Linked DNA regions of Nothobranchius furzeri. The protein of the gene in region 4 interacts with the protein of the main gene of each other region in a pairwise test. Links are inferred from orthologs where the notes say so. Each region holds a gene or a part of one and is shown on either strand. Other genes may lie near its edges.

Evidence for each region.
Region 1: the proteins of agtrap (region 4) and pdhx interact in binary tests that used the Homo sapiens proteins (3 or more experiments, as listed by UniProt). The two-hybrid records come from large-scale screens. The link is inferred for Nothobranchius furzeri from reciprocal best matches to the Homo sapiens genes AGTRAP and PDHX.
Region 2: the proteins of agtrap (region 4) and syt16 interact in binary tests that used the Homo sapiens proteins (3 or more experiments, as listed by UniProt). The link is inferred for Nothobranchius furzeri from reciprocal best matches to the Homo sapiens genes AGTRAP and SYT16.
Region 3: the proteins of agtrap (region 4) and hscb interact in binary tests that used the Homo sapiens proteins (3 or more experiments, as listed by UniProt). The two-hybrid records come from large-scale screens. The link is inferred for Nothobranchius furzeri from reciprocal best matches to the Homo sapiens genes AGTRAP and HSCB.
Region 5: the proteins of agtrap (region 4) and ecpas interact in binary tests that used the Homo sapiens proteins (3 or more experiments, as listed by UniProt). The two-hybrid records come from large-scale screens. The link is inferred for Nothobranchius furzeri from reciprocal best matches to the Homo sapiens genes AGTRAP and ECPAS.
Region 6: the proteins of agtrap (region 4) and mrm1 interact in binary tests that used the Homo sapiens proteins (3 or more experiments, as listed by UniProt). The two-hybrid records come from large-scale screens. The link is inferred for Nothobranchius furzeri from reciprocal best matches to the Homo sapiens genes AGTRAP and MRM1.
Region 7: the proteins of agtrap (region 4) and ptpn9a interact in binary tests that used the Homo sapiens proteins (3 or more experiments, as listed by UniProt). The two-hybrid records come from large-scale screens. The link is inferred for Nothobranchius furzeri from reciprocal best matches to the Homo sapiens genes AGTRAP and PTPN9.

Annotation. Positions count from the first base shown.
Region 1 is NC_091744.1:75,526,061-75,530,057, forward strand, and holds the start of pdhx (pyruvate dehydrogenase protein X component, mitochondrial), read left to right. Parts: upstream 1-1,197; 5' UTR 1,198-1,244; coding exon 1,245-1,380; intron 1,381-2,237; coding exon 2,238-2,321; intron 2,322-3,997.
Region 2 is NC_091758.1:9,697,614-9,701,113, reverse strand, and holds part of syt16 (synaptotagmin-16), read left to right. Parts: intron 1-3,062; coding exon 3,063-3,500. UniProt on the Homo sapiens protein: May be involved in the trafficking and exocytosis of secretory vesicles in non-neuronal tissues. Is Ca(2+)-independent.
Region 3 is NC_091750.1:33,252,191-33,256,404, forward strand, and holds the start of hscb (iron-sulfur cluster co-chaperone protein HscB), read left to right. Parts: upstream 1-1,414; 5' UTR 1,415-1,419; coding exon 1,420-1,781; intron 1,782-1,868; coding exon 1,869-1,965; intron 1,966-4,214.
Region 4 is NC_091743.1:75,225,095-75,227,878, forward strand, and holds part of agtrap (type-1 angiotensin II receptor-associated protein), read left to right. Parts: intron 1-821; coding exon 822-1,017; intron 1,018-2,784. UniProt on the Homo sapiens protein: Appears to be a negative regulator of type-1 angiotensin II receptor-mediated signaling by regulating receptor internalization as well as mechanism of receptor desensitization such as phosphorylation.
Region 5 is NC_091747.1:76,192,011-76,195,217, reverse strand, and holds the end of ecpas (proteasome adapter and scaffold protein ECM29), read left to right. Parts: intron 1-857; coding exon 858-963; intron 964-1,048; coding exon 1,049-1,137; intron 1,138-1,210; coding exon 1,211-1,282; intron 1,283-1,994; coding exon 1,995-2,134; 3' UTR 2,135-2,707; downstream 2,708-3,207. UniProt on the Homo sapiens protein: Adapter/scaffolding protein that binds to the 26S proteasome, motor proteins and other compartment specific proteins. May couple the proteasome to different compartments including endosome, endoplasmic reticulum and centrosome.
Region 6 is NC_091756.1:50,275,901-50,280,196, forward strand, and holds the start of mrm1 (rRNA methyltransferase 1, mitochondrial), read left to right. Parts: upstream 1-1,496; 5' UTR 1,497-1,739; coding exon 1,740-2,879; 3' UTR 2,880-4,296. UniProt on the Homo sapiens protein: S-adenosyl-L-methionine-dependent 2'-O-ribose methyltransferase that catalyzes the formation of 2'-O-methylguanosine at position 1145 (Gm1145) in the 16S mitochondrial large subunit ribosomal RNA (mtLSU rRNA), a universally conserved modification in the peptidyl transferase domain of the mtLSU rRNA.
Region 7 is NC_091754.1:45,568,528-45,572,504, reverse strand, and holds the start of ptpn9a (tyrosine-protein phosphatase non-receptor type 9), read left to right. Parts: upstream 1-1,177; 5' UTR 1,178-1,984; coding exon 1,985-2,017; intron 2,018-3,977. UniProt on the Homo sapiens protein: Protein-tyrosine phosphatase that could participate in the transfer of hydrophobic ligands or in functions of the Golgi apparatus.

The DNA.
Region 1 (3,997 bases), on a different chromosome or scaffold from region 4:
GGATGGGCATGACTAAGGGTCCCTATTTTTTTTTTTTACCAGTGTTTGCACTGACCAATATTGTTGTGATTTGCCCACTGTTGCTTTTATATTCTACAAATGTGTGTCTGCAAGCTGAGAGCTGCCAACTTATGTGTATATAATGACATTAAGGAATTCTTACATTCTTATATTTTACGTCTTATGTGGCTCAGAGAGATATTAGATAAGCTCATTAAGAAGGGCAGCTCTGTCTTGGGATGTACCCTTGATCCAGTGCATATAATGGGAGACAGAAGGACTCTAGCAAAAATAGCATCACTGTTGGACGATAGTCTCCCACCCCATGCATGATGCTGTTTTGGATCAGAAGAGCTCCTTCTGTGACAGATTGCTGCATCCTATGGGCATGAAGGAACGTTGTCATGGGTTTTTCCTCCCAGGCCCAGCAGCAGTTAGGATTTGCAACCAGTGCTGCTTCCAACTAACCCACTAAAACTTTTTGCCTCCCTGCTGCTTGGTTATTTGCACAGTTCTGTTGTAGTTCTATCTTCACATTTCTCTACTGATCACTCCAATAATCTGCTTGTTCTCTCACAATATTTTATTTTTTAATTCAAACATTTTGTAAATTCCATTGATTCTTCTTTAAAATATTTCTTGCAATAGTGTTTAACATGTTTTTGTTTAGAGTACAGCCTTCTATTTCTTATTTATTTATTTGTTCTTATTGTGAATGTGGTTGCTGTTGTGATACAAACATGTCCCTACTATATAGAATAAAGGGATATTCTATTCTATTCTGTTCTGTTCACAAATCGAATCCCCTCTATTTGTAAAATATTATTTAGGCTGCCTTGCTTTGCTTTAGAAAAATATTGTGTCCTCAGATCCATTTGAAAATACTTGCTCCTTTATTTTTATTTATATTTACTTATTAATTCTTTGAATGACACCAATTTCCATCAATTTTCTATTCACTGTTCTGTCAAATGTGTTGGATCAATAAAGTTTTTTGTTCAAATAATAAAGCCCGAAACATGTAGGTAGTTTTTTGCCTTTTTAATTACAAATACAATGCTATTTATATTATTTTTGCCTTGCCAAAAGGAATGTGCTAACGTTTTTTATGCCTTTGAACCTTTTCTATACTGTATAATTTCACAATGATAGATTTGGAAAACAAAAGCAAGCTCCATCCTGGCTTTCCGCTGCTTTATGGACAGGCACTTGTGAGGGCACCTCTCACGACGGAGGAGAAAGACATGGCGGTCTCCTTGCGTTTGGGTCGTCAAGGAATTTTTTCTGGTCTCAAATTACTTAATTTTAACAAAAGTTTTTGGCTTCGACACCCTTCGCAGGATCGCGTGAGATACGTATTTCAGTCGCCATGGATGTTTGGTGAGTGTTGGCTTTAAAACCGGCTAATCAAGGGAGAACAGCTCTCCTTTGACCTGACGTTTGCTACACCCAGTTATGTTTAATTGTGATGGATTTACGTGTGTGACATTAAGTCTCGTCGTTTTTTACAAAACGATTCCGGATTGGCTCATCTGGTTTAATATCTACGAAGGAGTTGAGTTACTTCTAAAACAATTCAAACCAAGCTTCGCAAAAATTGAAATATCTACTAAAAAATAAAAAGAGGCCATGATATTGTGGCCAAGAATTTTATCTCCTGTAAATTTTTAGGAAAGTGTATATTAGATATTCAATTAAGGATGATTTAGACAACATGCTGACTCGAAGACAAAATAGACATGCAAAAGACTTGCAGCTTACCAAAAATAACCACAAAAAATTAATATTTACTCTTAAATGTCAGATAAAAAATCACAATCTTCATGAAAATTAACTAAAGCTTTAAGTGTCCAGCAAATGACAGCATACACCCCTTTAACTAGAAACAGAAGAGACTTCTGACCTTTTTATTTAACTGAAAACCACTTAGGAACAATTTCACTGTCAGTATTTTTAAAACCTGTTCTGTATTTTATTTTGTACCATGGATAAGTATTAACAGTACTCCCCTCCCCCTCCATGTTAGACAGTGTGGCCTCTATGGGTTACGGATATTAGAAAACCTACTATCCTTTTTAGTCTCGTAACTAGTTAACTTGTTTGACAGCCATCAACTACGATCACGGGTTTGCAATAACTGGCACTGAGAAAAACGGTTCTTTATATTTATTCATTTTTTATTTTATTACTCTTGTCTTTGAATATACATTTTGTGTTTTCTTCCTTCCATCCTCTAGGTGTCAGCCCACTCAAAGTACAAATGCCAGCTCTCTCTCCCACCATGGAGGAGGGAAGCATAGTCAAATGGCTGAAAAAAGAAGGTAAAGTGATACAAGTTTAATCAAGGGTTTCTTAATTAGGGTATTTTTGTAATAAGTATTTTAAAATTCTGAAAATTGCATTAGATTTTACAGAAAACTTGACTACATCAATGTCATTTCTCTCGCTTACCAGCTTTATACCTTAGTAAATTATACATAAATATGTTATAGTCATGACTCAAACAGCTTCTATTTGGACAAAACTGAATCCGAAGCTCCACTTTTCTTATCCTCCCACAATTACAGACCAACATCAGGACAAATCAATCCCTCAATGACATTTCATTGCTTTGTAAGACAGAGACTTGAGTTGTAGATCACCTGAGGGCCTTGTTGGCTAATTAACTCAAGAAATCACAATTGCTGATAATCATCCAGGTGGTTCTCTTATCTAGAAGCAGCATGAGGAACTCAATGGCTACAAGCTGTGTTACCATGTGTTTCTGCCATTTGTACAATTGTGTGTATGTGAAAATCATGAGAATGGATGCTTCAAAACATTTCCTTCCTGTACCCACCCCCGGTCCTGTCTGGCTGTAAAGCACACATAATTGATGTCTGAATGCTGGTAACAAGCCGTACAGATTTACTCTCAGGTGGAGCATCAAAGCATCTGCTTTTAATGTCACGCCTGATACTTAAAACTTTATTGTTATTGTTTTTGAATGCTTTGTAATTCTGACCAGACACAGAGACATAGGTGAAAGAGAAAGGAAGAGACAAGGAAGGGGGAGGGGGAATAAACAATCAATGATGAACAGGGATCTGCTTCTAGACCTGCAGAAAAGGGACACGCAACAACACAACAGGAGCAAGCTATCACTGTGTCAACCTGATGAGGAAATATAAAATGAACATTGTTTTACTGAACAATCACACGATAATAAATCACAGTGCATTTAGTGCCAACCACAGCCTTAAGACATGTGTTGAACATGCCCAAGTCCATACTTACTGCCTCCCCGGGAAGCCAAGCGACAACAGAGGTGTGCTAAGGCCCCTAGTCACCCTCCACCTGCTCCAATATAGTGTTAGTGCGTGTTGATGAGGTGTATTCAATGGCTGTGGTGAGCAGGCAGTGCAGGCATCGTCTGGCCTACGCCAGCTGATGCCACCACACCACTCCACTTGCACCCACAGCCCTCAGTGTCTAAGTGCAGTTTAAAATAGGAAGAAGGCACCGGCACTTGGGATGAGGCTGAAAATTCCCCCTGCCAAATGCCGTTGAATGCGCCAAGGTCTACCTGAGTCCCCTGAGCCTGGGCCAGGCACTGCCACATGTTTCCGCCTTCTTCCCGGCAGCATACATGCTTCTTGTATTTCCAACTATAACTATAATGTAAGGTTGTGCAAGTTTATTTAACATACACAACAGATTTAATTTGAATAAGGGTAATAACATATTTATGAAATGGTAAACTTAACACAGTGATAGCGAGCCTGGCAAGCCATCAGTATATATTATCTGGCCACGGCCCATTCACAGCTTTTGCTGCACAAAAAAGTTGTATAATCAGCTGATTGTCTTCATCCTGTTTTGTTCTGAGGAGATGATGGATGAACATCTGCAGAAAGCTAATCCTATTTGCTACAGAAACAAGCATTTAAAGTAAATTAATGGTTTATCATAGCTAGAATCCTATGAAGTGCATCACTGGGACTTAACTGAATTTCTC
Region 2 (3,500 bases), on a different chromosome or scaffold from region 4:
TATAGCATCTAATGCTGGTGAGGCAGTGGCTCTGCTGCTTATTAAACGAGGTTCTTTTTGCTTCGGACATGAAGGTGTTTCCAGTTACCTTCATGTCCGAAACAAAAAGAACCTTGTTTAACATTTAAAAAGAGGACCTAATGAACATTGTAAAGGGTTCTGCTGCTGTTGGACTTAGCAGCAGCATTTGATACCGTTGACCATCAGATATTGTTGAACCACTTGGAACACTGGGTGGGGCTCTCTGGTTCTGCGTTGTGGAAAGGACTTCCTCTGTTTTCCTTGGTTCTTATTCATCAAGAGACGCTGAACTTAGGTGGGGTGTTCCCCAGGGCTCGGTTTTGGGACCCCTGCTGTTTTTGCTCTCTCTCTCTCTCACCACTGGGACTGTTGTTTAAGAAACATAAAATTAGCTTCCATCTCTATGATGATGACTGCCAGCTTTATTTGCCAAATCAGCAAGAGGCCAGTGGCAGCATACGGCAGCTGGTGAATTGTTTACAGGACGTTACTCAATGGATGGGGTCCAATTTCTTGGCTCTGAAGGAGGGCAAAACTGAAATAATAGCTTTTACCCCGAATAACCACCAGCCCTTTTTATCGCTGCTCCTCTATGAGAAGTCTGTTTTACAGATTTGGGTGTTAAAGTAGATTCTACTCTAACATTTGGTAGTCAGGTGAATTCTGTTGTTCGTTTGTGTTTTTACCAGTTTAGGCGCTTTTCTAAGATTACATCGATCCTCTGTTGCTTTGGACTGGTTACCAGTGAAATGTTGTATTCTCTTGGTCTTTGTTTTTAACGCTTTGTCAGGAACTGCCCCACCATATTTAGCCTCGCTGCTGACCCGTTATGTCCCTTCAAGATGGCTACGTTTGGGTCAGAGTGACCTCCCAGTGGTACCGCGGTCAAAACGAAAGTCCAGAGGTGATCTTGTCTTTTCAGTTCTGGGTCCTCGGCTTTGGAACCAACTGCCACTAGAAACAAGACGGTCCACATCGCTGCCCACTTTTAAAGCTAGGCTGAAGGTGCATCTTAGATCTGTTTCTTAGTTTTAATACTCGTGTATTAATGTTTGATCATCATTGTTGTTTTGCTGTTTTTAACTCGTGTCTTCGATTGTTTTATTTCTGTATTTTATTATATAGCAGATTGATTGATTGATTGATTGATTGATTGATTGATTGATTGATTGATTGTGCTTTAGTTGTTTTTACGTTATCTTCACCACCGTGGGCCCCTTGACTGGGGTAAGGAAGGGGCTTTACAAATAAACTTGAACCTGAAGATGAGCTAATTTATGATTTTTTTAATGCAGAATGTTTGAGGCCGGTGAGCAATTTTAACTCTTGGCCGCCATCTTGAAAAATTAGGACTATTCTGTTGTTTACTTATTCATTTTCAGTCATTTTCTTACGTGCTTGCACACACACACAAACACACACACACACACACACACACACAAAGAAAATACTGCAATGCTCCACATCCATACTTGGCAGATTCGTGACCAGAGTCAGCTGTGATTGTATTTCTGTCTGTAATCTGCTCAGGTTCATGCAGGATTCACTGAAACAGCAGAACTCTCCTCTCGTGGCGGTGAACAAACAAAAGCTCGGGAACTATGATCGGTGTGTGTGTGTAAACAAAGACTCTGTCAGGATGAGACTCTTGATGATGCCTCTGTGTTTCCATTGTGTCGCTGGAGAATGTAACACCCTTTCTGTCACCAAATCACACTTTTATGGCAGAAGAAGCAACGACCACCTTGATCACTATATCCACCAAGGAAGGACTTGAAATTCCCTGTGTGGGAACCTTTTATATTCCCAAAGATGCTAAAGGAGACATAAATCTGCACACTGCACTTCCTCCAGCTGAGTACCAGTGCTCAACAGCTAACGTTCCATCATTGTTGTTTTCATCATAGCTACAGTTTAAATGTTGCAACAAGTTCCTGTACAGGTGTCAACTAGACAAAATACATACTGGTGGTTGGCTAAGAGCAGGAGTCGGTGTCTGTCCATCAGGACTATTGGACAGACACTGATCAAAGAATGGTAGGTAAACTTCCTCCCAGAGGAACTCCTCCAACCATCCAACAACAGTTTGGTGACCAACAATGGACACCCTCCCTCCTTCCCCAGACCTTAACCCTACTGAGAACTTGTGACTAATCGTCCAGAGGCAGGAGGACAAACACAAACCCAACACTAATGTCAGGACCTGGACTAGAGGCCGACTGACAGCAGCTTAAAGAGCAAGTCACCCCCAAATCAACTGTTTTTTGCTGATAAGCTAAATAAACGAGTGTGTAATCGTGCTGCAGACACGTGTCGTCAATAATTTGGCACTTCAGTGCATCTTAATTAAAATTTAAATATTCTGCCTAAAACTGGCAGTGTTGTGCCGTTGTCAGGTAAAAACTGCACTGTATTTGAATTTAAATCTGCCACCGCTATTGGCTAAGAGGTATGCTATGATGTAAACTGGTACATTATGATGTCACAATGCTGTTTTTGTGTGTGTGTGTGTGTGTATTTGTTAGCGGCTCCGCCCTCTCGGTCTGCCTGGCAACAGCATTTGTTGCATTTTTCAAACATGAAGTGGGAGTGGAGTTAGACTCTGGTAGGGGGTGACTTGCTCTTTAAGTTGAACTACAGAAGGACCACCTCTGCAGATATTGAGTCTTTGCATGAACTTAATCTTCCCTAAAAGTGTTTGGATCTTATGAAATGTTTGCGGTTCTACTTCAGTAACCATGGAAACATCTGACAAAAGGATGTGTCCTTCTCTAAACGTTTAGCCACATTCCTGATGCAGACGGATTAGAGCCTTTGCACAGCATTCCGGCTCTACAGTATGTGTTCTGGGAAGGAAAACTGCAGTACAAGTGGGCATTTGTTCACTTTAACTAAAATAGAAAATTGTGCTTTAATCTGTCTAATGTGTGGCACCTTTATGTTGATTTTTAAATGACATTTTAAAACGTGTTTGCTCATATTGTGTTCCGGGAATCATGACGGCTGACGGTTTAACATCTGTGTAAAACTTCTGTTCTCAGCTAACGCCATCTCCTTGTGATGACGCTGCCTCTCAGCCAGTCTGCTCCTCCCCTCGAACCCCCATCTCTACATGTGGAGACCTGGTCCTCTCTCTGGAGTACCGGCCCGAATCGGAGAGGCTGCTGGTCACCATCATCACGGCCCGTGACATTCCTGACAAGGCTCGCAGTGGGATGGACTCTTGGCAGGTGCACATGGTCCTGCTGCCCTCCAAGAAGCAACGCCACAGGACGTCTGTGCAGAAAGGCTCACTGCCGCAGTTCAACGAGACGTTCCGCTTCTCCCGTTTAGAGCCGTCTGACCTGCAGCTGTCCGCCATCCGGTTCAGGCTGTACGCCGTGGGGGGGAGGATGTCCCGTGAGAGAATGATGGGGGAGAAGGTCCTTCGCCTAGGGGGGCTTGACACAGACAGGAGCACAATGGAGGTAACGCTGGTT
Region 3 (4,214 bases), on a different chromosome or scaffold from region 4:
AACCAGCAAGCTAAAGAAGCCACTCTTCTAAAGATGATATTCCGTTTTGGCTTGTTTAACTCAAACAACGCAAGCGCCAGAAGAGCTACCTTGCTCCCCTGCTCTCTATTCTTAGCCATTTCCTTTAATAATAACCAGAGTATTGTCTGCTGGGTCCTTGAGAAGCACCTCCCTCGACCTTCAGGAAGAGATCCTGTTTACCTTACGGATGCTTCTGTCTCCAACTAGTGTCTCTCTGGAATACTCTGCCGTCACCTTTTGTACTTCTACCACTCTAAACCACACACACACACACACACACACACACACACACACACACACACACACACACACACACACACACACACACACATCAAAGATTGTACTTTGCTAAGAAACTTTTAAGGTCATGAGTTGTTCAGGAGTTTGATATTTTGCCAAAAGCCAAACTTAAAATGATTCCAGTTCCTTGAAACTTGTACGTACCTAAGATCATGCTCACAGCAGTGATATAGATGGATGGATTGTGCAGCAGGGCTGCGCAGTGGCTAGAGCTGTTGCCTTGCAGCAAGAAGGTTCTGGGTTCGCTTCCCGGCCTGGGATCTTTCTGCATGGAGTTTGCATGTTCTCCCTGTGCGTGCGTGGGTTCTCTCCGGGTACTCTGGCTTCCTCCCACAGTCCAAAAACATGACTGTTAGGTTGATTGGTCTGTCTATATTGTCCTTAGGTGTGTGTGTGTGTGTGTGTGTGTGTGCATGGTTGTTTGTCCTGTGTGTCTCTGTGTTGCCCTGCGATGGACTGGCTCTCGTCCAGGGTGTACCCCGCCTGATAGCCCGTTGACCGCTGGAGATAGGCACCGGCTTTAATATAACGACGCCTACTGCACATCACTGACAGCAGCAACTATTCGGGCTAAACCCACAGCAGAAAGTTAGAGCTAAGTGACATTTTATTAGGCAAACATACCCTGTCTACAAGAAGCCTCGACTTTTATTTTCTAACATAAACCCTATTCACCTGCAGGGCGGGACAGACAGTAAACATTATACTGTTACTGTTAGAAACACGTTAGCTAACGAGCTGTGAAGCTACTCAGCTACATGTTGACTGACGCGTATCTCTGCCGTCGGAAGTTTGTATGCTAGCTAACGCTGCGGCGCTCTTACATCCCAAACAAACAACAAAGCTGGTGTCGTTGACTTACTTTGGATTATTTGCTGAATTCGAATTCAATATCACTTAAAAGTTTAATACTCGTAAATAGTTTTTACCGATGCTGGTTAAGCTAATGTTTTGTTTCCCAGCACCTCCGAGACGCATACGTCATCAAGCCGCGCGGTGGCACTGTCGCGTTTAAGAAACGTAGAAGAAGACCCATTCTTCCTCTGCTGTTATAGGCACAGAGGTGTGAATGTTTTGATTAGGACTTTGCTGTTAGGCATGTTTCCACTTGGCTCTCTGCGGATTATATGTTCACCTCGGGCTGCGCGACACCCGCCCTGGACGAGGAAGCATGGAGCGTCTCTTCCAAACGCTGCCACGTTAAGTCCCAGCATGGCAGCCAGCTTCCACAGCAACAACCCTCCTTGGCACAACGGCGTGAACTTCAGAGAATTTGGAAAAGTAGAATTTTATTACACTAAAACGGTCTTTTCATCCAAAAGTTGCTGCACAAGTCAGATTAAACCGCACTGCTGGAACTGTAAGCGACTTCTAGAGAAAACGTCCACATTCTTCTGCAAGTCATGCCAGGCAATCCAACCCCCCGAGGAAGGAACCACCTACTTCAAAATAATGGACTGGTTAGTGTCTTACATCACTTCAAATCAGCCATTTCTAAATGAGCTGTCATTCAATTTCATTTCATTGTGTGCTGCCCCTTTTTGCAGTGACTACACTTTCACACTGGACACCCACAAGCTGCAGACAAGATACTTGCAGCTTCAGCGATCTCTTCATCCCGACAACTTCAGCCAGAAGTCTGTGGTAGGCAGGGGAAATGATGACCAGTTTGGTGAAATGGTTCACGCGTCAAACCAGGCTCTGTTATCGATTAGTTGGACTGTGGAGCTGCAGACAAAGCATGTATATCATATGATGCTGTTTTAAACCTTTGAGAGCAAAGTGGGCAGTGTAAATAAAGCGGTTTGTTTTGGTGAAACTGCCCAAGCCCACTCTGACAAGATGTGCCTACAGCAGTGATTCAGTTGCTGTACTGGTTATGGTGGTCCAGTGGTTAAGGTATTCAGCCCAGCACTCGTAACAACTGGACTACCAAGTCTGCTACGTGACGGTCGCCTAAGCCACATATCCTGTGCTGACCAGCTGAATTAGGTTTCATACCAGAGACTATCTTCCGGGAGAGGAGCAGGGCCTGATGATTAGTTTCCATTCATGTGCAGCTGAAACAGGAAAATGCATTAACACAACCCAAAACGGGTTTGTTTGTGTAACAGTATCACGGTCAAAAGCTCCAAAAAGTGGATTTTTCCTGATAAGGCGTTTCCAAGGTTACGTTGACTGTATTAGACAATACAGAGCAACATCAAAAGAGTCATCATAAACCAAACAACAACAACAAACACCCATTTATTTTCTACTGTACATTCTGTTCTTTGCTCGATGTAAAACCACTCCCAAAGGATCCATCCATCCACCCATTTTCTGAACCCGCTTTGCGACCCAATAAAAAAATGAAAAGAAGCAGGTCTGAAAACGACATCTGAGGCTTATAGATGGTTTACTAATATTGGGTAAAACTCAAGTATTTTTCAAAGCTTCAGATGTTTTAAGGTATTTCATTATGACTGAGCCTTTTAAAAGAGAAGGAACAAAGGAAGACCTTTGATTTACTTGGTGAACACGGCTGCAAAAAGAGCCCAAAGATCACACCTTCAGTTCAGCAAACCTTTAACGTTTTATAATGTTCTCATATCCATTACCCGTTTACACAGCATCAGGTTCATGAGCATGAGATTCAAGGCTTCATTGTCCTTTTGTACAAAGGAAACGTGCACAATAAAATTCATAATTTGTGTAATTGTAATGATTTAGACAGTTAAAGCCGAGTATGAAGATAAAAAAGATGCGTGAAAAATGCAATAACTGAAATTCCCACTTTTGGCCTTTTTTTCAAGGTTTCAGCTTTAAGTTTGAACTTTTGTTGTGTAAAAACAAAAGGAGGCATGGAGAATATTATAGGTAATCCACATTTAGGAGACAACATGGAAGAAAGAGGTTTTAACTGTTAATACCTGCATAACATCAAGCAGACATAATGTGAAACTGGACAGATTTCCAGTTGTCCGCATCACGCAGAAACACATTATGCACCAAAGAACAAGCACACTCGTTAGATAAGTCATTCATATCATTTTCTCAGCTGTAGATCTGAACAGAGAGGATCCTGATTTGTGTGAATGCATCCAGCGTCAGTGGAGCTTCTAGGCACATTAAGGTCTGCGCAGAGGTAGTTTGATTGTGTTTTATCTTTTTTAGTCGATGGGCCTACAAGCTGTAGGAACAAACCTCCAGGATGTTGTAATGGGAGCAGTTGCATAACGTTAGGAATTATTCTTGTTGCTGTATTGCTCATGCGCAAATATTCAGCAACAACAAAGGAAGACTCCGTCCACCGCCCTTCAGTAATTGCTGAATGAAGGCAGCTGTGGGATTTCCTATAAAATCCCAACATCAAAGACCGCAAAAAAAAGTCTCAGATTCAGCTCATTTACAGTATAGCGTGGTATAAAGTGTCTTTTAGGTTTTAGTTACTCGTGCTGCCCAAAATAAGCTTCGATCTCACTTATTTTTCTTCCCTGGGACATATTAATCTATAATTATATATTATACCTTACTATATTAATCTATAATTCTATATTATACCTTACTATATTAATCTATAATTCTATATTATACCTTACTATATTAATCTATATATTATACCTTACTATATCAATCTATAATTATATATTATACCTTACTATATTAATCTATAATTCTATATTATACCTTACTATATTAATCTATATATTATACCTTACTATATCAATCTATAATTATATATTATACCTTACTATATTAATCTATATATTATACCTTACTATATCAATCTATAATTATATATTATACCTTACTATATTAATCTATAATTCTATATTATACCTTACTATATTAATCTATAATTCTATATTATACCTTACTATATAAGCATTTAAATGAAAACTTGCAGAAAA
Region 4 (2,784 bases):
AACATCGTGAGATCAAGGCAGTCGCAGATTTTGGAGCAAGGCGCTGCAGTTGCTCTCCACCGGCTGCAAAACCTAGGGGATGACGGGAAACACCTGGCTCTCACCTGATCTAAGATCTGACTGGTTCATATTTTGATCCAAACATCCGGTGGTAGAATATGAAATGTTAGTTGGTCACATGTATTCTGTAAATCATGTTACGTTGATGATGACAACTATATAGGCCATAAAGAGAAATGTGTTTTGTTTTCTTTTGTCACGTTTCCTATGAGCACACTGAAGCTACAGCTGATAACCTTCACTTATTATTACAGTCATGACTTCATATACAATATATGATATCCACAAGCACGTGAGGATGTGTTTCAGCTGCTAACAGGCACCAGAATTAAAATTGAAAATTAAACAAGTGTGAACGCTCACGCGATATCTTCAGCCATCGTCACCCCCGAGCTACACATACAGGAAATTGTGTCCGACTTAAACGCCGGCTTTCAGCCACTCCCCCTGCTGCTTCCGTCTGCTCTCGTCTGTTTTCCAGGCGAGGCGCAGCTCAACTCGAACACGGCCAGTGACTTTACAGCAATCCTCATACTAAGCAAGCATATAGCGACAGTGGAGAGGAAAACTCCCTTTTAACAGGAAGAAACCTCCAGAGGATCCTGGCTCAGTATAAGCAGCCATTCTCCACGACTCACTGGGGATCGAGAAGACAGAGAACACACACGCTCGCACACATGCACACACACACACACACACACACACACACACACACACACACACACCTGTCATTTACATGTGTTTTCTTGCTGTCCCTCTAGTTTCTAATGGGGATGCTGGTGACAATATTGACGGACATCGTGCATTTTGGGATCTATTATCCTCTGAATGACTTTTCGGCAGAAAGACGCTTCAGTGGAGGAATGGCAATCCTCAACCTGCTGCTCAAACCTGCTTCCTGTTTCTTTGTATACCAAATGTACCGAGAGCGAGGAGGAGATTACAACATCAACTTTGGTAAGTGGCGCTGAAAGCATCAAACTCACCGTTTTCCATGATGTTTTTAAACATAAAGGATGGATAACATGCAAGACTTTAAGAAGGCAGGCCCACATCATCAACTCAAGGCTTCTAATTACATTTGAACAAACAAAATACTTCATTAAAATATGTGATTCTTCAATCAAATACATGATTTGATTTGGTTTACCCCAAGAACCAGTGAGATTATTTCTGTAAATATAATCTCTGAATTAAAGGAGCATTGTTCTCCCTGTGTCCAGTTTAGATCCCCCTCATGTTGTTTTACTCAAACTGGAGAATCATCTGCTCCAAACCAGCAGCAGATGATTCCACATCTCATTGGTTAGTCACGTGATTTATTTATTTTTTTTGCTTAATCAAAATATTCAAGCTGCAGCTCGACTGTTTACAGAAACCCCACAAGTTCCTCATAATGTGTGTGTGAGTCACTCTGACCATGCGATCCGAGTGCATGGAGAAACGTGTTAAAGAAGCATGCAGGCTGTAAAATGAATGACCCGCTTTGATGCAGGAACAAAAATAGCTCGAGATGGATGTGCAGAAAGCAGAGGTGGCCACACAGAACCCACAAACAAAGATTTAGGTCATTGTGTAGATTCGTCAGACTGATCGGAGGCTGCAGGATCTCATTTATGTTGCAGACATCCACTTATGGATCTAACATCGCAGATCTTTGAAATTCTAATGACCTGGAGGCTTAAAATGATCATTCTTTGATTTGTTACCTGATGTCATTGAATTAATGTGATGAGCACATTTGGATATCAACTTCACAAAGAATGGATCAAAATGAAAGAAAAAAAAAGCGCTAGAAGACAAAAGGATGTTAGTGGTGAGATGCGAAACCTTGATGAAACCCATTTGTCGACTGCACAGAGGATAATTGAATATTGATGAATCTAGTTTCTTTATGGTTTACTTTGCACAGCAGGAACACCCATTAGACTGAGTTATGTCAGATGAAAGCAGCTAATGATCCTCTCAGACAGCGTTTGGGTTTTAATTGCAGCTAGATTGCTTTGCTGGCGTTGCACTGCTGAGCACAGTCAGGTACAAGCAACAGCTAGTTCAAGTCGACTATCACTAAACAAATCGGGATTATGAAAGCTGGGGTGCATAGCATGACGTCATCGTGGTGAGAAGGAAAAGATTTAGAAATTTGAACGGCTGAGAGCCATGCCTCACAAAGCTCTGTAGTGTGAACGCTAGCACTAAGTAATGTCTTTGATATGCTCCTGCTCAGACAAACCTAATTCTAACTGCTGAATTCAGCCTTCATCTGGTTGCAGCAGCTAATCACTCAGTTTAAACATATGTGGTGTTCAGCAGGGAAACCTCTAAAACGTGCAGGAATCTGGCTCTTCCAATGCTAGCACACCCTTGCTAATGCTGCAACAAGCAAAAACAGTCTGATAGCGTGAGATTGAATGCTACGCTAATCACTTAGCTCCAATACACACTAAATAATCGCCTCCCCTCCCTCCTCTTCTACAGGACTGAAATTTAGAATCTAGCTGAAATTTTCTTGTCAAGACAAAGGTTAGTAAAACCTGTCCATGACGCTTTTAACTCAAGTTAACTCAATGTTCTTGTTTTCAGAAAGCCTTTAAAATGATTTGCTGCTAAACTAACAGGGCTGACTCTGCTTCAACCACATTATTATCTGTGAAAACGACGAGCGGCAGCATTAGACATGGTCCGGCATTCATTGGTCAGTCATCCCGGAGGGGCTCGGAGTAG
Region 5 (3,207 bases), on a different chromosome or scaffold from region 4:
TGTACGATACTGGTGTAAGCGGAACCGTACGCAGTCAGTTGGTTGTGAAAGGGGGCTATTTTTTTAGATGAGCACATTAGCTGGTTAAGCTAGTGGGAGCTTGCACCATGGGGAAGTGGAAGTTTAATGGTAGCTGGATGGCTAATCCCACGTTCGCGACGTGGTTAGCACCGGTTCCAGGCAATAGCTGGAAATTATCGCTTAAATTTAATTTTTAAAATAGCTTAAATTTGGTCAAAGTGGCCTTAAAAAAAGGTCTTAAAAAGTCTTAAATTTGGCTCCCTTAAATCTGCAGCTACCCTGGTCTACACCTTCGCCATTGCGCCCTAAAAAACATAAAGAGAGCCGAGGATAACTAGCGGCAGACACAGAGCAGCTTGAAGAATACCTCGTGAAAAAACTCAAAATGTGAACGTTTAATTCCCCCGTGACTGGAGGACTGAAAAGATGCACAGCAGGCGTTTTATTTGTGGACGGAAATGACAGGAAACGTGGGTTTAGAGGTGGCGAGCGCATGAAGAGGTGGAGAAGAATGAGAGACAAATTTGTCTGTGTTAAAAAGTCTCTTAAATACAAAAAAACTCAATATAAACACACTATCTTGGACCAGATACACGACAGGATACCACAGAACAGCGCTACGCCCTCTGCTGTCCTGCTGGGGAATTGCTTTGCAACGTTCACGAGAGCAAAACGTCTCCGTCCGTGCGTGTCTCTCCGTTTTGGAGCTGACGGAGAAGCATGAATCAGGCTTTACTTTGAGAGAAAGGCTTTTACCGTCTCTTGGGCTGAAAATGTAAAAATGGCTCTTATCTGTGTGTGCGTGTGTGTGTGTGTGTGTGTGTGTGTGTCTGCAGCACATTTCCAATCAGAGGTGTGCGGTCTGATGTCTGGAAAGCTCAGGCTGAGCACTTGGAAAGTGCAGCTTGCTGTCCTGCAGGCCATGAAGCCGTACTTTCAGGAGTAAGACGCTCAAAAGCAAACATGTCGTCTCTAATCCCAGCTCTTCCGTCATTCATCCGGTAAAAACAAACATTCTTCTCTGTAGCTTGTTGCTGTTGGAGAAGGCTGGTGAAGACTCAAGTGCACTATCAGAGATCCTGACGGAGACTTGTGCTGCTCTCACATATCCTTTAGGTGAGGGCCCGATTCCACTCTAATACACTAAATTATGATTTTCATCACTTGAGTTTGTTTGTTTTCTCCGCAGAAAATAAAAGTTACTCCTCTGTTCGGACAGAGGCCTTGTCTGTTGTGGATCTGATTGTGAAGAGAATCGGAGGTAGGTGATGCAGTCTCCTTGACATGATGACATTCATGTTGTGTGATTTGTTTTGTTTCTTGCTAAGAGATAAAAAAAAAAAGTTTGTCTCACAAAAAATACACCCAAGACAATACAATAATTTACATTTATGGGATCAGGTTTTTTACTTCTACAGATTTATTAATAATATGTATTTTTATTTTTATAATTCAAAATAAAAGGGAAAATTTTCAGTTATTTTTTTCCAAGTGTGCCTGTATGCAGTCGTTATAAATTAGTGTTGCGTAAGGATGTAGAATTAGAAACACTGTTAAACTGCATAACTGAGCTGAACCATCAGGGGCGACGGTGGCACAGGAGTTAAGTGCTCGCCCCGTAATCGGAAGGTTGCAGGTTCGAGCCCCGCTCAGTCTGTCGCTGTCGTTGTGTCCTTGGGCAAGACACTTAACCCACGTTGCCTGCCGTGGTGGTCGGAGGGACCGGTGGCGCTCTGCGTCCCAGAGCAGCTGTGGCTACATCGTAGCTCATCCCCACCAGTGTGTGAATGTGTGAATGAGTGATTGTGTTGTAAAGCGCCTTGGGGGGTTTCAAGAACTCTAGAGGGCGCTATATCAAATACAAGCCATTTACCATTTACCATATCAGGGTCCCTCCAGCTTCTATGTGTCTGATGTATTAAGTCCATGGATTTTTATATCTGAGTGTGTTGCTGATTCTCGTGTGTGTTCAGAGAGCGAGCAGTGGGAGTGTATGTCTGTGAAGAGCCGGGAGCAGCTGCAGCGCTCCCTGTCGACTCTGCAGTCGGACGCACGGCCCGCCCTGAGGGATAAAGCCCAGGAGCTGCGCAGACGCATCCAGAGCCAACCCTGAGGAAGATGGGACAACATAAAGGAGCAACACACACACACACACACACACCCTCTGTCTTATAAGCATGATGCCATACGTGGAACTACTGTTACTGATGGAAAAGGAGGTACAACCCAAGAAGACCGGGGCCTGATGTCCCACACACCTGTGTTGTGTTGATGAAAGGGATTTAATAATTCACACGTCTGTCATCAAGCTGCGCCGCGGACTCCCAACAGGAAACCAGACTAAACTCGCTCCTCTGGGCAAAGCCAACGCGGTGAGCTGTTAACTTCTACGTTGTTCACTCAGATGGACTGTGTGTGAGCTGATAAACTGCTTTATAAGTGTTGGGTGTGTGGACACTTTATAGCTAATAGCCCCAAAATGGGGATTTTTACTACTGTTGTGGGTTTGCCTTCCTAATAACTGTCCAAACAGCAGCGGGTTGTTTATCGCAGCCAACAGAAGGTGACGATGCTTTAGGGTATCACAGCGTGTCCTGAAATCTAGAGAGAAACCTGCTGATAACTTCAAAATGACGCTGTAGCTGTTTGAATTTGTCTTTCATGAAATAAAACGTAATCATTTGGACCGGTTATTGATTTCTGCTTTGTAACAGGTTTCTGATGACTGTTGCATCTGAGGTGAAATGTTGAGAACTTATGAGCTCCTTTAGAGTTTAGGAAAGCCGTGTTCAGCTTTAGTCATGGCTAAACGCGATCATTATTGACTCACTTCAGCAGAATCTGTCCCAACATGAAGGAGGCTCAAAGATCTCCAGAACATCATGTCACTGCAGGACTCGTCTGGGTGTGGGTGAGGTCATGGAGCAACTAGAGGGGCATCGGGACCACCAACGCCCATCTAACATTTACCAAAACACGATGATCCACCGGACTTTTAGGCAAATCTTTTGTAGGCCGGTGTGAAGAGAAGGGAACTCTCCGGAAGTTGTGACTCGCGTTCCATCTAGAGCAGGGGTGTCAAACTCATTTTAGCTCAGGGGCCACATTGAGGGAAATCTAGTCACAAGTGGGCCGGACCGGTAAATTAAAAACAACTTCAGATTGTTTTCTTTGTTTTAATACAAT
Region 6 (4,296 bases), on a different chromosome or scaffold from region 4:
ATTCACTTCTTTAGGCTGACATGAAAACTCTGTTCCCCTATCCCAATAAACAAAATATCTTTGCATTAACTGGTTGGGTAATTTAAGTTTGTGCGAAATTGCGGCATAAAGTGAAGATAGAGACAAAAAAACCCTAATTTAACACAAACGTAAATGTGTTTATAACAAGTCTCTGACAGTTTCTGTCACATAAGGTGTGTCACCAACCCAGGTGTGATTTATAAAAGAGTAGTATTATTTATTTACTCGGTAGTTATAAATCAACAAGGCTCAGATAGGAAATGATCGCCAGTTGAAGTCCCAGCAGACAAATGTGAGTAACTGACCTTGGTTTAGAAATGCAGTCAGCCCAGTGAAGGTAGTAGCATTGAACACGGAGGGGCTTTCCAGCTAAACTTTTACTCAACACTTTAAAGTCACATTTAACATACTTCCGGTAACAGCAGTTCTGACACTAACTACTCTGTTTTCCTGACTCAAATTACTCAGCAGTCAGTTGTGTGGCTAGAGGCCCAAGGTTCGGTTTCATCACTGTTCGGTTCGGTTCTCCTGTCCCGACCTGAAAGCTCAGACCGAACCCAGTGGTACCGAACAGTATCACACTCACCGTTAACTTCACTCGTCAGCGACGACACAGGAGTCTGGGAATTCAACGGCGCTCAGGGAGAATTCAACGACTTTTACTCGAGTCCAAAAATAAAACAAACGGTTATTTGTTTTCTTTCCAACACTTCCGTGTTGAGACGGTTGCTTTTCCGGGAAATGACGCAGCCGCGTACGCCCCGAGAAACATTTTGCCACTGCGTCACGTGCGTCAAGTTCCAAAGAAACGACAAGTACAACGGAGCCGAAAAGTTTCAAAATAAGACACTCATCGAGGATCGTCAGCAACCGACCTTTGACACAGAAATATTTTGAAAATGTGGTTTCAACAGTAAAAACTATTACTAAACATATTGATCATGTAAAAATAAATAAATAAATAAATAAATAAATAATGAAAGATTGAAAAAATATTTTAGATTCTGTGCCCTTGCCCACAAAGTCTACATAGTCACCGTGAGCTTGTGAAACAAAAATCACTTGTTTGTGCTTAATTCAGCTGACTCTGATACTTAGTTCATGGTCAGTTCAGTTGTCAGAATTTTTATCAAATGTTTTACTAGGCTCTTTAATTTACATGCTTGCTCAGCCTATGTAAACAACTTGCATGTATCATTTAGACTCCTTTAAGTCCTCAGTTCCATCCATCCATCCATCCATCCATCCATCCATCCATCCATCTATCTATCTATCTATCTATCTATCTATCTATCTATCTATCTATCTATCTATCTATCTATCTATCTATCCATCTATCCATCTATCCATCTATCCATCTATCTATTTATGGCTTGTGTGAGTGTGAGAGTGTGTTTGCAATTTTTTGTTTTCGGTATTGACATGAAAATCCACAGTCAAGACTTTTAATTTAAAGGGAAACTTCCTGGCATCCGGTCTGCAAATCTGTAGCTTGACTGATCTCATTGTACACGTGCTGATCAATGGTGCTGTTATAACGTGAAAGCAGCAAACGTATTTCTGCTTTTTGAATGTTGATGATTAGGATTGCGCTCACCTGGTTGATCTGCAGATCCATGGGCTGTTCAGGCAATTTTCACTGGGACTGGATTGATTGTTTCTACAATTTTTAAAGTACGGTTCGTCAAGACAGTTCGGCTCTCAGTCATCTCAACACTATGCTTCTTTGGAGCAGAAAACTGCACACACTGGAGTCTTTCTCTCTGGCAGCTTCTTACCATGTCACAGCTTGTCTCCTGAGGACAGAGGACAGGAACCCAGCTGTAAGGAGACACTTCAGAGGGCCTAAAACATCCAGTGATCAACAACGGCCTGCTGCATCTGGGGGGTTGCAGGATCGTGGGAAGTCATCCCAGAATAAATTTGTAAAGACTGAGAACCCCCTGTTTCAGAAACGGAATCAAGTGAGGACAGATGTCTCCAGAGTGTCATCTGAACTCAGGAAACTGTGTCTAGAAGATTTCCCTGCAGACAGTGGGAGGCTGGTGATACAGAAGCCAGCACTTGACTCCAAAGCCCAGGAGGTGATTTTTGGTGTAGCCCCCTGTTTCTTGGCTCTCACTCAGCGTAGAAGACATGCCTACAGACTGTTTGTAAAAGATGGTGAGACTTCTCAGAGAGCTTCTGTCTTAAAGGTATGTGAGGAGGCAAACCAACGAGGAGTACAGATCAATAGGGTTAGCAAGAAAGATCTGGACAGGATGTCCTCTGGAGGAGTTCACCAAGGAGTCTGTCTGTGCGTAAGTCCTCTCAGCTACATAGCCTTGGACTCAGAAGCTAAGCAGCGAGACACCAGCGCCCCTCTTTGGCTGGTCCTTGAGAGAATCCAGGACCCAATGAACCTTGGTGCCATCTTACGCTCTGCCTATTTCCTTGGTGTGGACAAGGTCATCAGCAGTCTTCGCCACAGTTGTCCCCTGTCTCCGGTGGTCAGCAAGGCCAGCTCAGGGGTGATGGAAGTGATGGGGGTGTACGCGCATGAAAACCTGGAGGAAATGCTGAGGCTGAAGGTGGTGCAGGGCTGGCAGGTGGTCGGTACAGTGGGAGCAGGCACAGAAGTGTCTCACATTCCTGTCGTCCCGTGTTCAGACTTTCAAATGAGTGCTCCGACAGTGTTGCTGATGGGAGGCGAGAGCGAGGGTCTGTCGCCCAAACTGCTGTCTCTGTGCCAAACCCTTCTCACCATCCCAGCTGGAAGGGACTTGTCCCCCGGCATCGAGTCACTGAACGTTTCTGTGGCTACAGGCATTCTGCTGCACTCCCTTCTGTTCACAGGGAGCTCAAAAACGCAGCATTAATCATCAAGACTCCTAAAACTACATCTGAGCATAAAGATCAGTTTAAACTGATATAATGAACTTTATTGTATCGTTATGAGCAAAACATCTTGGTAGTTGATTTCTATGAAGGATTTTAATTTAAAATAAACTACTGAGAGTGTAAAATAATTGTCTCGGATATGTTTTCAAAGGCTTTGTTTTATTCCAGTTTAGTTTTCACTCAGATGTTGAATAGTAGGTGTAGAAAAACATGCATTTATGTTTGTTTTATCTTTCTGGAAATAAATTGTAATTATAAATATATAAATCTAAATATTTGAGTTTAACGCTTTTAGCTTTACTAAATGTTTGTTCTTGTTTTATAATCGATTTGGCATTTGTTATTTTTCTTATATTCAGAATAATGTTGAGTCTGGACTGTTGAAATGATCAGAAACACCAAACTGTCACTGAAGTGTATTAAACTTTAGAACATTTTATCAGTACTGTAGTAGTGGCTAATAGAAAATTCAGCACATTACATCACTTTAGTAGCACTGTTTATAGGATAAATTATTAAATGTACAGGTTTAAAAAAAACAAATGTAATTTCTCTCAAGATTTGTTAACTTTAATAATGTAAATATTCATTTTAGAGTGATCATAAAAGTAATTGTTGGTGGTTATATTATTGCCTCATATGTTTTTTTTAAATTAAATATTCAAATGTATATTGGAGAAAAACAACTCAGGACACTGATCCATCTAGTGTGTCAAAAATTCAAAATCTCAATAAGCAGTTCAACAATTAAAAACCTAAGTTGGATTTTTAATCATTTCCACTACATTTTTTCTTATTCAAAACTTACTGAGGTTTTGGGAGACAACGTCTTGAAGAGATTCAATCCTCAGGTTCAGGTTGAAACGGTAAAGTGTGGTAATCCAGTTTCCGCACCGTACATTTAAAATAAATACATTATTACTGATCTCTGGTTACAGTGTTTTTCCAAAGTGGTCAGATTTCATCTGCACGTGAAGAAATTCTGCTAAATATTGGTTTGCCATTATTCTATTCAGCTGCATTTTTCATTATATCTGTACCTAACAAGCCTGGCAAGCCAGACTAAATACATATATTTGCTAAATAAACTTTGCAAAGCAAGAATTTAGTCTATTTCACCTAACAGCTCTGGTGATGTGTGGATCCTACAAACAGTGCTGAAGTTTTGATGTGAGTCCTGTGAGAAAAAAAAACAACCAGAAAAATGTACATATTTCCCCAGCCAGCACAATACAAAAAATCCTCTGTAATGCAGTTTTTATTATAGCCTAATAAAATGCTAAATATCTGAACATTTGCCAGGGACATGAGACCAGCAGCTGCTAAAGTGTCAAGAACTAAATTACTGGTTGTGGAAAATAGTGAGGAAATAGAGGAGCATCTCAATATTTGAGG
Region 7 (3,977 bases), on a different chromosome or scaffold from region 4:
CCGAACAACAAAAACACAAAAGATGGATCAAGGAAGCAATCGAGATAAGGAGACGTGGATGTGGGACCATGAACAGGGACGACGGAGTTTACACGCTGGACCACGCATGGGACTGCATCGTCGGAGAGGGGAGAGCGGGCAGTAGAGGGCGACAACGTCCTCTGCTGCCCGCAGATAAACGGAGAATATTTAATGATCAAATAAACTATGTATAAGATAAATAACTAAATGTGTGCACCCATTAGTAAACATCTTAAAATATTGCAACAAAATGAAATAATAAACCAGCGTGTGGAAAAAATATTTAAATAATACTAACACTGAGAAATGGCTGGAGGAACCTCCACAAGAAGACAGAGCAGACACACCCACACACATCCACACACAAAACATATATACCAAGTAATGTGTCTATAGTTACATGGTGATTTCTTAGTAAATATTCTATTTGGTGAGAGATAAACTTTATTGTATTTATCCCAGTGAATCTATAATTAAACAGGTAAACTAGTAGTAGCACATTCAATGTCAAAGAGAGTAAAAAGTTATTATCAGGAGAGGAAGAATACTTAAGTGGTTAGCAGCAGTGTGCTAGCCGATGGCCCCCTCCATGAGGCCACCACAGCTCAGCAGAACATCACTGTAGCTTCTTCTGGGGAGAAAAACACTTAGAGAAAAAATAAAGTTAACAGCTAAAATAGTAGGAAATAATACAGTTCTGAGCAGATTTTAGAAGAAAGTAGTCTAGCGTGGAAAGTGGTCAGTGTATCCTCCAGCAGTCTAAGCCTATAGCAGCATAACTACAGAGATAACTCTGGATAACCTAGCCTTTTAGATGGAGGCTTGTTGGAGGCAGGGCAAGGGAGAGCCGTCTTTATCGACTGTACACTCCACCTTCCTCTACTCCCCCGCTTGTCCAGATCTAGGCTAACATCAGATTTTAACCAAAGGCCATATCAAATACAAATGTTTTAAGCCTAGCCTTAAAAGTAGACAAGGTGTATGCCTCACGGACTAAAGCTGGGAGCTGGTTCCACAAGAGAGGAGCCTGATAACCAAAAGATCTGCCTCCTGTCCTATTTTTTAGATATTCTGGGAACCACCAGTAAACCTGCAGTCTGAGAGCGAAGTGCTCGGTTAGGAACGTATGGAACAATCAGATCACTGATGTATGATGGAGCTTGATTATTAAGAGCTTTACATGTGAGAAGGAGGGTCTTAAAATCTATTCTGAATTTAACAGGTAGCCAATGTAGGGAAGCCAAGACAGGAGAGATATGATCTCTCTTTGTAATTCTCATCAGAACTCTAGCTGCAGCATTTTGGACAAGCAGATTCTTCCCCTCCGCAGTTGGACTGATGAATGACAAACGTAGACCCGTCTGCACCTGAAGTGACCCGCTCTAACCAGAACCTACACTACACTGTCTTGTATATAGTAGCTGCTTCTCTAATTATTGCCTCCCTATATTATTATTATTTCATGATGTTTATTTCTTAATTCTAATTTTGCTTATCATTTTTTTTTCTTGCACCAAGTCCAAGTACCGTAGCAGTTTCCTAATGTTGGGATTCTCACACATATGGATATAAACCCTACTGGTTCTGGTTCTGACCAGCAGGGGGCTCCGCAGAGCGCAGATTGAAAGGCAACAGAGTCTCTTTGTTCATGCTCGTGTGTGTGTGAGAGAGAGAGAGAGGGAGTGCGCGCGCGCGCGCCTCAGGCTGCATAAAGACAAGCTAGTCAGAGTCAGAGCTAAAAAAAAAAAACTTGCAATTCCTTGCATGGAGTCCGGACAGCTGCGGGTTCGGTGAATGAGCTACTGATCTCTCTCTCTCTCTCTCTCTTGGACGCTGGGCTCAAGCTAACAGGCCGGTGTGGATCGCAGGAGGGCACGCAGCGTCTCTCATGTCTCCAGCTGTGAGACACAGGGACAACTTCTAGAATTCATTTCCTTTAAACGAGGGATACTTCCGAATCATCATGGCAGCGACTTTGTCAGCGGAGGAGGAACAGGTAGGCCCGCGCGCGGAGGCTCCTGCTCTCTATTTCCGTTTCTTTTACCACCCTGCGTGCGTGCGCCACAGCAGTGCGCTTTTGTGGCATTGTTGCCAAATGTTCCGGAGCGCAAAGCGGAAACATCGCATCGATTTCAGGAACGTTATTGGCCTGGTCGTTGCACCACAGTCGGCTTCTGTGTTGAAACACACCGCTGATGCTAATGCAGGGTCACTATGGGCCTGGTTCTGGTTCTGATGCTGGTTCTGGGCCTGTTTCTGATGCTGGTCCTGGTTCTGGTCAACCCACAGAAGTTCTTGTTCTGTCAGAAAAGAACACATGAATCCCATTTGACCCGTTTTAACCAGACAAAACAAACTTAATTTCATCAGTATAATCGGTGTTGGACTAACTTAATATATGTCATACATATTACTGATTATAGTATAACAATGTAATATGTTTGTAATAAATACTACCGTCTCATTAATCTAGCTGAGTTACACCACTTTCAGTTACTTTCTGCAAAATTATTTAAGTATGTAACAGAATCCAGAAATACTATAGCTGATCATTTTACATTTTATACAAGGATGAAATACATGATTTTTCTCACAGTTTTATTCAAGTCAGCAGAAAATGTTTAACAACAGAACACAGGCACAACAAGTGCCTTACATACATTTGAATAACCAAGTTAAAGGTATAACCTCAAGTAAAGGTATAAATGTCCTGAGAGTGGTCACACTCAGTAGAAAACAACTAAATAATCAAGCATTCAAGACAAATGAATAAATCGGAATGCCACAAATGTTTACCAGAAATTGTCACTTTGTGGGTGTGGATGTTGGCGGACCGTGTGTAGAGGAACTGACCTGGAGGCAAAAATGCAGGTTCGGATAAAGTAAAAATGGTTTTAATAACAGAGCGGGAACGACAGGACAAAAACAACGCTGACAACAAACACAATGATCTGACAAAGACTGATACTAGGAGGGAGATATAAATACACAGGGCAAATGAGGAACACATGGGCAGGTAAACAAGGGGCAGATGAAAACAATAAGGACTAATCAAGGGCAGGAGAGAGACACAGTCAGGGAGGCAGGGGCAGACGTGAAAGAAATGTTTTCACACTTTAGCAGCTATTTGGTGTGGTACAGAGTAGTACATCTCACTGAAGTATTTATTAAATCACATTAAAAGAAGGTGCTGAAAGCGCTCATCACCAAGACGATTGTGTTTGGGTGTCAGAGCGGGACTTCCACTGGCGCACTAGTTGGTGTTGGAGCTTTGTATCACTCATCAACTTCATTTAATACCTGTTCAAGACTTTTTAAGACCTTCAAAAACAAAGTAAGACTTTAGTGCAATGCAACTGGAACTAATAAACTTTATTTTGTGATTCCAATAGAAAGAAAAACATTTTACAAATAAAACTTTACTCAAAATAAAGTTTCATAAAATAGGCTTAGGGTTAGTTTGCTAAAATAAATGATGAAAAAACTGCAGATTTCACAGCTAAACTCAACTAACTTATCCAGCTGGCTGTCTAGTATGAATGCACGTCCCCCTCACTTTCCACGCATTATAATTAAGGAACTCAGTGGGTTAGCCTGGTGTTCTCCAATGTGTGAACCAACCTAGAGCTGCCACAACCGGCTATTTTAGTAGTCGACTAATCGTGTCATTAATAAAGGTTTAGCTTGTTGATGCTCTAATATACCATCATTAGCTTCTAGTCTGAAGTGTGATCCATCTACTAATAAAGACAAGATGATAGCTTACCAACAACTTTAATAACTTTGTAACCAGTTAATACAAATGCTACAGTCAGGTGGAAGTAGGCACCTAAAACCAAACTGATGTGTGTTCACCAGAGTCTTGGTGTCAAGGTTGAAGCGCTTCATCTTCCAATCTTAACTCAAGAGATAGCAGGACCAAGGTACGCCTCTGTAGCACGGCTGGTCCAGACGTC